2 linked regions of the Arabidopsis thaliana genome follow. The protein of the gene in region 1 interacts with the protein of each later gene in a pairwise test. Each region holds a gene or a part of one and is shown on either strand. Other genes may lie near its edges. The genes, in order: HDA05 and GRF10.

Region 1 (6,784 bases):
ATTTGCAACCTCTGTCTATTCTTCTTTCCAAACTACTTTTTCACATGATCTTTGTTGAGGTTTAAAGTGACTGGAAATGCATTTGTGACTAGGCATGATCACGGAAGTTTCTATCCATTTGGCGATGATGGAGACTTTAACATGGTTGGCGAAGGTCCAGGTGAAGGGTTTAACATTAACGTTCCATGGGAGCAAGGAGGATGTGGAGATGCAGACTATCTTGCCGTATGGAACCACATCTTGATCCCTGTGACCAAGGAATTCAAACCAGATATTATTTTGCTTTCAGCTGGATTTGATGCAGGTTTGTATGGTCTAACCATTTGTTTCAAGGCTTTGTGACGGTAAGCTGTGTGTAATCTTTTCAACTTCTTCTTAACAGCTATTGGTGATCCGCTTGGGGGTTGTTGTGTTACCCCATATGGATATTCAGTTATGTTGAAGAAGGTTGGTGTTGAAGTGAACTGCCTCTTTTCTCCATTGTTTCTATTATGCGTACCATGGCTTCTCTACCATTGAAAATAACAAAGCTACATAATTTTACTTGGATATGACATCATTTAATTGGTTTCTCTCAGCTGATGGAGTTTGCACATGGAAAGATAGTGCTGGCATTAGAGGGAGGATACAATCTTGAGTCATTGGGAAAGTCTTCACTCGCATGTGTCCAAGTTTTGCTTGAAGACAAACAAATTCATGGTTCATCTGAAACATACCCATTAGAATCTACACGGCGTGTCATACAAGCGGTATGGCTCTATATAACCCTAACAGTCTGAAATTTTGTATGAATTGGCTACGATTTCTCTTTTCAGCTCAGTTCTTGTGTCATAAATATTGTATATCGCCTATGTTACTAATTGACAAAGCTCATCTGTTTCTTGTGGGTTTAGGTACGCGAGAGACTATGCACATATTGGCCTTCACTTGACGCGTCAATGGCGTCTAATGAGAATTTAAAGAACCCAAGTGCAGAAAGAAACTCCGCTGACGCCCTCCTTCGTGAAGTGGAAGAGTTAAAGTCTCTAATGGCTGCCCGAGATGGAGAACTGGAGGCAAGGAGAAAAGAGTTAAAGGCCAAAAATAAGGAGCTAGAAGCGAACGAGAAGGAGCTAGAAGCGGGACTAATGTTGATTCGCGCTCGGGAGGATGTAATCTGTGGTCTTCATGCAAAAATAGAGAGTTTGCAGCAGGAGCGAGATGAGGCGGTAGCGAAAGCTGAACGCATAGATAAGGAACTCCAAGAGGATAGGGCAAGAAGCCAGGAGTTCAAAGAAGACACAGAGTTTTGCTTGAGTACGTTAAGGAGGGAGAAGGAGCTTGCCATCATGGCCAAAAATAAGGACCTAGAAGCGAAAGAGAAGGAGCTAGAAGCGCGGCTAATGTTGGTTCACGCTCGGGAGGATAAAATTCATGCCAAAATAGAGAGGTTGCAGCAGGAGCGAGATGAGGCCGTAGCAAAAGCTGAACGCATAGATAAGGAACTCCAAGAGGATAGGTCAAGAAGCCGAGTTGGGAATGGATCTTTTGCCTTTTCTCAGGAGTTCTATGAAGACATGGACTTAGACGAGCTCGAACCTCTGTCTCCGGAGTTCAATGAAGACATGGACTCGGAAGAGCTTGAACCGTTTCAGGTCATCAAGAAAAACATGGAGCGTTCCCACAAGAAGTTCATAAAAGATATGGAGTGTATCAAGTTTATCGCCAGTGAGAGAGCCAGGGTACTTTAGGTTGGGAGCTTGAGGCCGTAGCAGAAGACTACCACAAGTTTCGCGAGATGGTTGATAAGCTCGGGAAGAGCAACATATACCCTTCTTAGAAAGTACAATGGTGTTTCATTGTAACCACAGAACCTTTTTGTGATTGTAAACCAACTGTGTCGTGTCAGACTTTGATTGGTTGCGATACTTGGTTTCCCAATTTCCCTCCAAAGAATCTCCAAATTGGTCAAACTCTCAAACCTAAAAAAAAAAAAGGAGAGAATGAAAAAAAGAAAGAATTGAAAAGTAAAAAATACTTGGAAGCTTTAGAAGCTGAGAGCAAAGACTTGACCTTTTTCACTTCCTTCTCACTGATCGTCGAACAATAAGGCCGTCGCATCTCCCAGTTATGGCTATGGCCGGAGAATCTTCCGGCAAAAAAATTGGAGACTGTGACGGTAAAGTCGCGGGGAACAGACAGCGAAAGGTGGGTCTTATTTACGACGAGACGATGTGCAAACACGACACACCTGACGGCGAGGATCACCCTGAGTGTCCCGACCGCATCAGAGTTATCTGGGAGAAGCTTCAGCTCGCCGGAGTTTCTCAAAGGTTCATACTTTCTCTCTTCTTCGTGCGGCTTTGTTGTTTGTTTGATAATATAAGCCCTAGAAAATGCTCAAATTTAGTCAAATTGGGTACTTTCTGATCCTGTCAGCTGAGAAACTGGTCTCAATTTGTTCTTCCTTGTTCGGTATGAAATTTACTTTTCTCAATTTGAATTGTGCATTTCATAGAATCAAAAGGTTTGTATGCTGCTCAATTTTAACGGTAACCCTTCATAAATTTGCTACCTTTTCGTTATGTTCGGTCTTGTGTTCGAGTTATTTCCTCCATGTCTGTTTTATAACCCTCTCTGATATCAATTTTATATTTTTCATATTTGTTTGAATTTCACTCATAACATTATTAATTAGAGTAATGTGGCAGCACATTAGTTAGGGAAGGTGGAATCTAGTCTTTGAGGTGTGTATCCATCACGATTTGTTTTTCGATTCGGATGAATTGGCCTGCTATGTATTGACGATCTTGGTCTTTTCTTTTGCAGATGTGTGGTTCTTGGTAGTAGCAAAGCAGAAGATAAGCATCTCCAATTGGTTCACACAAAGGACCATGTTAATTTAGTTAAGAGTATTAGCACAAAACAGAAAGATTATCGGAGAAACAGGATTGCTTCACAGTTGAATTCGATTTATCTGAATGGAGGTTCATCTGAAGCCGCATATCTTGCAGCTGGTTCTGTTGTAAAGGTAATAATACTAGTTGATTTGTTTCTTTTTACAATAGGAGGATACATTAGAAACTGTTAGAATGATTTGATTGAATATGGGGTAACAACATTTTTCTTTCAACTTGACAGTTGGCAGAAAAAGTTGCAGAAGGAGAGTTAGATTGTGGTTTTGCTATTGTCAGGCCCCCAGGGCACCATGCTGAGGCAGATGAAGCCATGGGTTTTTGTTTATTCAACAATGTTGCCGTTGCTGCTAGTTTTTTACTAAACGAAAGAGTAAGGACTTGTACTGTTTGCTTTTAATTACTGTCAAATTCTTTGGTCACATTCCTTTGGAGTGCGTGTTCCCAACTTCTTTGCTTTTCCTGAATGCAGCCGGATCTAGGGGTCAAGAAAATTCTGATCGTTGATTGGGATGTCCATCACGGAAATGGTACCCAGAAGATGTTTTGGAAAGATCCTCGTGTACTATTTTTCTCTGTTCATAGGTATGTAATTGTGACCATTGTTTACTCTTCTTATGATGTCGCTTGTCATGATTTAAGGAGCCTACTTTTTACTCTATTACCCCTTTGCTTGATTTTTACGCTTGGAAAGTAACTGGAAATGCATTTTTGGTTAGGCATGAGTATGGGGGTTTCTATCCAGCGGGTGATGATGGCGATTATAACATGGTTGGGGAAGGTCCAGGTGAAGGGTTTAACATAAATGTTCCATGGGATCAAGGACGATGTGGAGATGCAGATTATCTTGCTGCATGGGACCATATCTTGATTCCTGTGGCGAGGGAATTTAACCCGGATGTTATTTTTCTTTCAGCTGGATTTGATGCAGGTAAACATGGTTTAAGCATTTTTTTAAGCTATGTCTTGTTCAGAGGTGTGTAACCTTTTCAAACTCCTCTTAACAGCTATTAATGATCCGCTAGGGGGTTGTTGTGTGACCCCATATGGATATTCAGTTATGTTGAAGAAGGTTGGTGTTGAAGTGAACTCCCTCTTTTGTCCATCATTTGTATTTGCGCTCCAGGGGTCTCCATCATTGAAAATAGCACTTCTTGCTTTAGCTGGTTGTTTGTCCCTGAGCTAAATAATAGAAACTTGCATTTAATATCATTCTGTTTCTCCAATGTTCTCTCAGCTGATGGAGTTTGCACAAGGAAAGATAGTGCTGGCGTTAGAGGGAGGGTACAATCTTGACTCAATTGCAAAGTCTTCACTTGCATGTGTCCAAGTTTTGCTTGAAGACAAACAAATTCAAGGACCTCCGGAAGCATACCCATTCGAGTCGACATGGCGTGTCATACAAGCGGTATGGCTCTATATCATCCTATCTTTTAACTTTCTTATTTCACAATCTGAAACAACCTTCCATAAATGGGCTGTAGTCCTCATGTTACTAGTTGACCAAAACTCATCTGTTTCTTGTGGGTTTAGGTGCGCAAGAGGCTATGCACATATTGGCCTTCACTTGCAGATGAATTATCGTGGAAGCTAATTAATCAGAAAACTCCTACTCCAGTTGAGCACCCTTCTTTTTGTCTACCATTTCAGTTGTTCATTGTTCATCAGAGAGCGTTTCCTTGCCAGATCGGATTTAGAAAAACCTCACTATTTTTAGCAACCACTTCTTAACTTCTTTGTCTCTATACAAATTTTCCTTTGCTTGATCTTCTTTTTAGGCGACAGACTCGGTATTTCTTATCACATAATTTCTTTCTTATTTGTTCACTATAGATCATCCTTATCTCAAGCTCCGACTCTGAAACTGAAGACAACGCCCAAGGACTCCTGGATCAAATGTCGAAACTCAGCATTGAAAACCCTCAAGGTACACTACTTGAAAACCACCAAGTAGAACCTGCATCTACATCTTGGAGAGCTGATCTCGCAAAGGTTGACGTTTGGTATGCCTCTTTTGGATCCAACATGTGGAAACCAAGGTTTCTTTGCTATATTCAAGGGGGACAGGTAAGTAACCTGTTTTGTTTTGTTTTCGGGGTCGAGTCTGGGCTTTGGTCTAACTTGACACATCTATGGCTGTTTGTGTTTATTTTTAGGTCGATGGATTGAAAAAGGTATGTGTTGGCTCAATGGATAAAAGTCCACCAAAGGAAACAGTGTGGGAAACATTTCCACATAGATTGTTCTTTGGCCGTGAATCTTCAGTTGGTTGGGGTGTAGGAGGAGTTGCTTTCACCAACCCCCTTGCTAATCTCATTGATCAAACTCACATGTGTTTGTACCGTATCACGTTAAGTGTACCACTCTTCATCGCAGTTTCCGTTCACTTTCCCTATTTTATTCATTTGGTGATCTTCTCTACTTATTCACTATGGATGTTATTTTTGTGAACAGGCTTGAGCAGTTCAATGACGTTCTGTCTCAAGAAAATGGTTTGAATGTGGATTCAGATTCTCCGGTCTTTGATCTAGCTGCTTTGCAGTTAGTAGATAACAAAGGATCCATTTTAGAAGCTCCTTTGGTTAGTCAGATAACAAATGTTGATTGATACGCTTATAAAACATGTAATAATCACACTTATACTCGTTTATTGACATTTTTACAGAATAGTTGGTATGGAAATGTTGTCTGCTTGGGAAAAGAACGCGACATTCCTATACTTACAATGACGTAAGTTTTCATCATTCTTTTTCTTTTGCTGCTCATAAACCGAGTTAAACAGCTTTCATTTTTTTTTTCCTGAGGTTTCTCAATAACTTTGTGTTTGCAGTTGCACGCTTTCCGCTGTTGAGAAATTCAAATCCGGTGAGATCCCTATAAGACCTCCTGCAAAAGCTTATGCCAACACTTTAATAAGGGGACTTGTGGAAGGAGGAAGATTATCTAAAGAAGAAGCTGAGGCTTACATAGACAAGGCTGTGTCTAAACCTCTCTAGTGTATAATTATTTACTCAGAAACCGCCCGTTTGAACACGATTTGGAGCTTCGGGTTTCTGAGTTATTCAATTAGGATAAAAACCACAAGTTTAGGAATATTGTGAGACCTTTGAATTTGTCTTTTGAAAGAGAGGACTGTGTCCTCTGTTAGCTGTGTTGTGCTTGCTCCCTAAGCAAACTCTCAATGTATTTTAGTTATCTTCGGGTTTTAGGCTTTACCAAGAAGCTGTATTCGGTAAATGTATTAAAGAACCCTCCAAACTGCTTTATATTGACCGGAGAGAAACATTCTTATTCTTCGGAATGGTACTTTGAAGTTTGAAGAGTTATTTTAAAAAAAGATTTAACAGCACTGTGAAGAGTTCTGGTCAAACAAACCTATTTAAAAAAAAGAGATTGGAAAACATGTATAAATAAAAATTGAAACGTAAAAATACTTTGAAGCTTCAGAAGCAAAGATTGGACCATTTCTCTTTTTTCTCCCTGCTCGTCGAACGATAGACTCTCTCATCTCCCGCATATGGCCATGGCCGACAAAAAATATGGAAACTGTGACGGTAAAGTCGCCGGGAAAAGCCAGCAAGGTACACTAGTTGAAAAGGAGCAAGTAGATACCGCTTCTACATCCTGGAGAATTGATCTCGCAAAGGTTGACGTTTGGTATGCCTCTTACGGATCCAACATGTGGAAACCGAGGTTTATTTGCTATATTCAAGGGGGACAAGTAAGTAGCCTTGTTTCGTTTCTTTTTGGAGTCTGAGCTTGTGTCTTAATTGACACATCTATGGCTGTTTGTGTTTATTTTCAGGCCGAGGGAATGATAAAAGCATGTGTCGGTTCAATGGACAAAAGTCCACCAAAGGAAATAATGTGGAAAACATTTCCACATCGAT
Region 2 (5,087 bases), on another chromosome or scaffold:
GTCGATTCGAATCAGAGTAAAGAGGAAGAAGACGAAGGAGAGGAAGAGCTCGAAGATAACGAAGGTCAGATCCATTATAACAGCTATGTTTATCAGAGACCTAATCTTGATTCGATTCAGAACGTTCTGATTCAGGGAACCTCCGGGAATAAAATAAAGAGGAAGCGTGGACGGCCGAGGAAGATTCGGAACCCTAGCGAAGAGAATGAGGTTTTGGATTTAACTGGTGAAGCATCTACGTATGTGTTTGTAGATAAAACTAGTAGCAATTTGGGAATGGTGAGTAGAGTTGGTAGTTCAGGAATCTCCCTGGATTCAAATTCAGTGAAGAGAAAGAGAGGTCGTCCTCCAAAGAATAAGGAAGAGATAATGAACCTAGAGAAGAGAGACAGTGCAATTGTGAATATTTCTGCGTTTGATAAGGAAGAGTTAGTAGTGAACTTGGAGAACAGAGAAGGTACAATTGTGGATCTCTCTGCATTGGCTAGTGTTTCAGAGGATCCATACGAAGAGGAGCTGAGGAGGATCACCGTTGGGTTGAAGACAAAGGAAGAGATCTTAGGTTTCTTGGAACAATTGAATGGTGAATGGGTGAATATAGGGAAGAAGAAGAAAGTTGTGAATGCTTGTGATTATGGAGGATACTTGCCTAGAGGATGGAGACTTATGCTCTACATCAAAAGGAAAGGTAGCAATTTGTTGCTGGCTTGTCGCAGATACATAAGGTATAATAATGTTTATGTTCTTCACTGGTTCTGTTTCTAGTTGGATTATAAAATAGACCTAGTATTGGCTGTGGAATTGGTTATAGCAAAACTAACACTTTGTTACTATTGAAGATATAGTTTTATAGGATTTGGTATATGATGTTTTAGTTTCTGCTGCTAGACTTTTGATTGTCCCTCTTGTTTGTTTCTCCATCTTCTTGAACATGATAAAAGATGTTTACATGAATTAAGGGCTGCTACTGAAATTGCTTATAGTTCGTTTGTGTACTCTCTGCCGTTCTAGGATTCTAGCTGTTGTTATCACTTTTAGTTCAGGATTCTGAAAATTTTCTCTTTTGTTTTTGATTATATAGCCCTGATGGGCAACAGTTTGAAACCTGCAAGGAAGTCTCCACATATCTACGATCACTTCTTGAATCCCCAAGCAAGAACCAACATTATTACTTGCAATCTGACAACAAGACTCTAGGACAACAACCAGTGATAGCTAACGAATCTTTACTAGGTAACTCTGATTCCATGGACTCTGAGACAATGCAGTACCTTGAGAGTGGAAGAACCAGCAGTGAGGTGTTTGAGGAAGCAAAAGCCGTAGAGAATGGCAATGAAGCAGATCGAGTGAAAACCAGTCTGATGCAGAAAGATGATAATGCAGATTTTCTGAATGGAGTTGAGGACAACGACGATGATATGAAGAAAAGAGATGGTAACATGGAGAATTTGGCGACTCTATCGAATTCAGAAATGACGAAAAGCCTACCGACAACGACTAATGAGCTTCAACAGTATTTCAGCTCACAAATCAACCGAGTTCAGTGACCATTTCTTTTACCTGGAACAAATTGTTTTCTCATTCTAGTTCAGATTTTATATTTTATGCAAACTAAAAGCGTGTTGTAGCTAACTACAGGATATAGAATTTGAAAGGGCCATGTACAAAACATTTGACAGAAACCAAATTTTTTCTTCAAAAGAAAATTTCTTTGAGTTTCAATCTGTGATTGATTTGGATTTGGATTTGGATTGGCATAAAAAAAATCTATGATTTGGATTGTGTTATATAATATAGAAAAGAACACAAACCCTTAAAATAATGGACAAGAGGACATGTCTTTCTCCGTTTATCACGGTCAGCGTCGTTAACCTTTTACGTTATTGACTAGATCGGGGTTTAATAAGAAACATATATTAGTTTTAGGTTCTTTCTGTGTAAAAACTAAACCTTTGTGGCTACTTTATAATTTATAAAACTTATGTTTCTGAGTTTTGTTGACTAAAAAAAGTAGATCCAACGGCTGATATAATACCACTATGAGAGGATCCTAGGGTTACTACTAATCTCGAAATCAATCAAATCAAAGCATCCATTTTTGATTCAGACTTCAGAGAGACAGAGAAGGAAGAAGAAGAAGAAGAAGAAGAAAAAACTATGGAGAATGAGAGGGAAAAGCAGGTTTACTTGGCTAAGCTCTCCGAGCAAACCGAAAGATACGATGGTATTTTCCGATTTCTGGATCTCTATTCAGAAAATGATTTGTTCATGTTTCTGAAAAAATCCGATCTTTTATTGCTCCGATCGAAATTGTTTTTACATTTCCATAGATTTTCTTTGTAGCCCTTTACCGATTTGTATGTTTCTGGGCTGTTACTTGATCTGGACTTTTAGATGCGACCTTTAAGTAATTTCTTGTTTAATGTTGTTTAGATACTCTGATCACTCTTGATCTTATCTTGATATAATTTTATACTTACTGTTGTCGAATCTCTTAGCATGAAAATGAAATAGATCTACGTTTTTGGAAGCAAATTCAAAGATCGGATATTTTTTTTTTGTTGGTGATGATGCAGAAATGGTGGAGGCGATGAAGAAAGTTGCTCAGCTTGATGTGGAGCTAACTGTGGAAGAGAGGAATCTTGTATCTGTAGGGTACAAGAATGTGATTGGTGCAAGGAGAGCATCATGGAGAATACTATCTTCCATTGAGCAGAAGGAAGAGTCCAAGGGAAATGATGAAAATGTCAAGAGGCTTAAGAATTATCGTAAGAGAGTTGAAGATGAGCTTGCTAAAGTTTGTAATGACATCTTGTCTGTCATTGATAAGCATCTCATTCCATCGTCTAACGCTGTGGAGTCAACTGTCTTTTTCTACAAAATGTGAGTGTCATCTTTATTATACTCTGACCATTCATGTGATATTTGTGTGACTAAGAATGAGATCATTTCCGTTTGACTAAAGTTAAATGTTTAAGTTATTACATAGCTACCACTCTTGCTTGTGTTCTTCCTGAAATGATGATGATTCATGAACTTTTCCTTGTTTCACTGTTTTGACTTTACGTGTTTTTTTTTCTTTCTATGTAGGAAAGGAGATTACTATCGCTATCTTGCGGAGTTCAGTTCTGGTGCTGAACGCAAGGAAGCTGCAGATCAGTCTCTTGAAGCATATAAGGTCCTTTGATCATGTTTATTTGTTTTCTTATTTTTGTGCCACCCCTCTTATATTTGAGCTGGGAATAACCTAAGACAAGTCTTGCTTTTTTCGTACTGGGAATGTAGGCTGCTGTTGCTGCTGCAGAGAATGGTTTGGCACCCACACATCCAGTTAGACTTGGCTTGGCGTTGAACTTTTCAGTTTTCTACTATGAGATCTTGAACTCTCCCGAAAGGTTTGTTTTTGTATTTTGGATTGAACATAATAGTGGAATCTGTGGTCATTTTCTGACACTATGAAACTATGTATTGTACAGCGCATGCCAATTGGCTAAGCAAGCATTCGATGATGCAATTGCTGAACTTGACAGCCTCAACGAGGAATCATACAAAGACAGCACTCTTATTATGCAGCTACTTAGAGACAATCTCACCTTGTGGACTTCAGACCTTAATGAGGAAGGAGGTATTCTTATTTTCTTTTGTTTCCCTATCTCATGATCAAATGGTTTCCTTAGAATCAAATGAGCTGTTAAGAGCGTTACCTTGGAGTAAAAATGTTGATGTTTGGGAACTCGTAACCATTAACCATCTGTCTATATTTGAATTAAACCGTCCTTTATGCATGTATTGCTATGTAGATCTTTCATTTTAGTTTTGAAAGCCTCAACAAAAAACATACCAATCTACCATCTCATAGTTATTGGATTCTAGCTAATCTTGTAAAAGTTATATGTTTGTAGCAGAAAACATTACTAGTTTCTTGTTTCTCTTCCAAAGCTTTTTCACTCACCTTTTTTTTTTCCCCTCTTAGATGAGAGAACCAAAGGTGCTGATGAGCCTCAAGATGAGGTATGAAAAGCCAGTTTTGTTATAAGTTAAGCTACTTACTGATTTTTCCATTTTGCATTGACAATTAGACCACTCATGGAATTACTGAATCATTGCAGAACTAAATCCTCTGTGAGAAGAGAAACGACTCTTGCTGCATCCTGAATCTTGAAGTGAAGACAGTAAGTGTCGTTGTTTGTTACTCGAATGTGTAATTTTTAATCTATGTCTTTCTTGATGGTGTTTTCCAGATTCTTGAACTTTTCACAACACAACACTGCGTTGCGTATCTTCAACCCTCTTATGATGTGGTTGAATTCTGTTTTACGCTTAGTTTGCTTCTTTTGTTGTTGAATTGAGCCAGCAGGCATGATTTGGGTTTTTGTTTATCAGAATATTAGGCGTATCATGGTCTCAAAATTAAAAACCAAAACAGACAAAGCTTTATTCGAAGTTTGTAATAACTAATAACTCCTTGCAAAAATCATGAAAGTCTGAATTCAAGAGGCTCTTAATAATTTGCATAAGTGATCCCAAACTTCACAACTTTTCAATTTGTGGATGTTTGCCCTCTTTGTGGCCAAGGAATCATCCTCAAGTGTGTTTCTCTACGGTGGTTTGGTCCGTAAGTGTGTGACATAATAATGGTTTGGTTCTCCCAACATGACCCTCAAAAAGGATCTCTATGCTCTAAATATGGGACTCTTGTAAGTTGTAATTGTAACCAAATGCTATCACAAACTCTCTAACTCGTACCAACACTCATTGTGTCTAATCCAATCGAGAGCCCTCAAAGTCTAAAACATGTTAATCAAACTGTGAACCAGTTAATCCTTATAGAATCAGATATCTTTTTGTCAACCATCTAAATAACATTTTTGTCACGAATTGACCACTTCCCTCGAGAGATTTTGTAGTGTTTTCTTTAATATTTTTATATGTCCAATGAATAATAATTTCATACATCTATCGAAAACTTCAATTTTGAGCTACAAATGATCAATTCAAGTATTCACTTGGCCCAACTTCTAAATTCTTTAGGTGAGTTGTTGCTAGCACAACAAATGCTACAACTGTCAAAAGCAAAGAGACAACAC

Evidence for each region.
Region 2: the proteins of HDA05 (region 1) and GRF10 interact in a protein complementation assay, tested with the Arabidopsis thaliana proteins (one study listed by BioGRID).

Annotation. Positions count from the first base shown.
Region 1 is NC_003076.8:24,566,243-24,573,026, reverse strand, and holds HDA05 (histone deacetylase 5), read left to right. Parts: upstream 1-2,035; 5' UTR 2,036-2,109; coding exon 2,110-2,312; intron 2,313-2,808; coding exon 2,809-3,010; intron 3,011-3,120; coding exon 3,121-3,267; intron 3,268-3,366; coding exon 3,367-3,479; intron 3,480-3,613; coding exon 3,614-3,825; intron 3,826-3,901; coding exon 3,902-3,978; intron 3,979-4,131; coding exon 4,132-4,302; intron 4,303-4,427; coding exon 4,428-4,511; intron 4,512-4,727; coding exon 4,728-4,961; intron 4,962-5,050; coding exon 5,051-5,244; intron 5,245-5,348; coding exon 5,349-5,475; intron 5,476-5,559; coding exon 5,560-5,624; intron 5,625-5,724; coding exon 5,725-5,890; 3' UTR 5,891-6,244; downstream 6,245-6,784. Other genes in the region: HDA18 (histone deacetylase of the RPD3/HDA1 superfamily 18), read left to right, coding at 93-304, 383-447, 579-749, 894-1,730; AT5G61050 (histone deacetylase-related / HD-like protein), read left to right, coding at 6,412-6,615, 6,700-6,784. UniProt on the Arabidopsis thaliana protein: Responsible for the deacetylation of lysine residues on the N-terminal part of the core histones (H2A, H2B, H3 and H4).
Region 2 is NC_003070.9:7,878,174-7,883,260, reverse strand, and holds GRF10 (general regulatory factor 10), read left to right. Parts: upstream 1-1,865; 5' UTR 1,866-2,157; coding exon 2,158-2,224; intron 2,225-2,576; coding exon 2,577-2,883; intron 2,884-3,090; coding exon 3,091-3,178; intron 3,179-3,285; coding exon 3,286-3,395; intron 3,396-3,476; coding exon 3,477-3,625; coding exon of another isoform or gene 3,626-3,660; exon of another isoform or gene 3,661-3,973; coding exon 3,974-4,011; coding exon of another isoform or gene 4,012-4,017; exon of another isoform or gene 4,018-4,036; intron 4,037-4,109; coding exon 4,110-4,115; 3' UTR 4,116-4,502; downstream 4,503-5,087. Other genes in the region: MBD8 (methyl-CPG-binding domain 8), read left to right, coding at 1-725, 1,082-1,547. UniProt on the Arabidopsis thaliana protein: Is associated with a DNA binding complex that binds to the G box, a well-characterized cis-acting DNA regulatory element found in plant genes.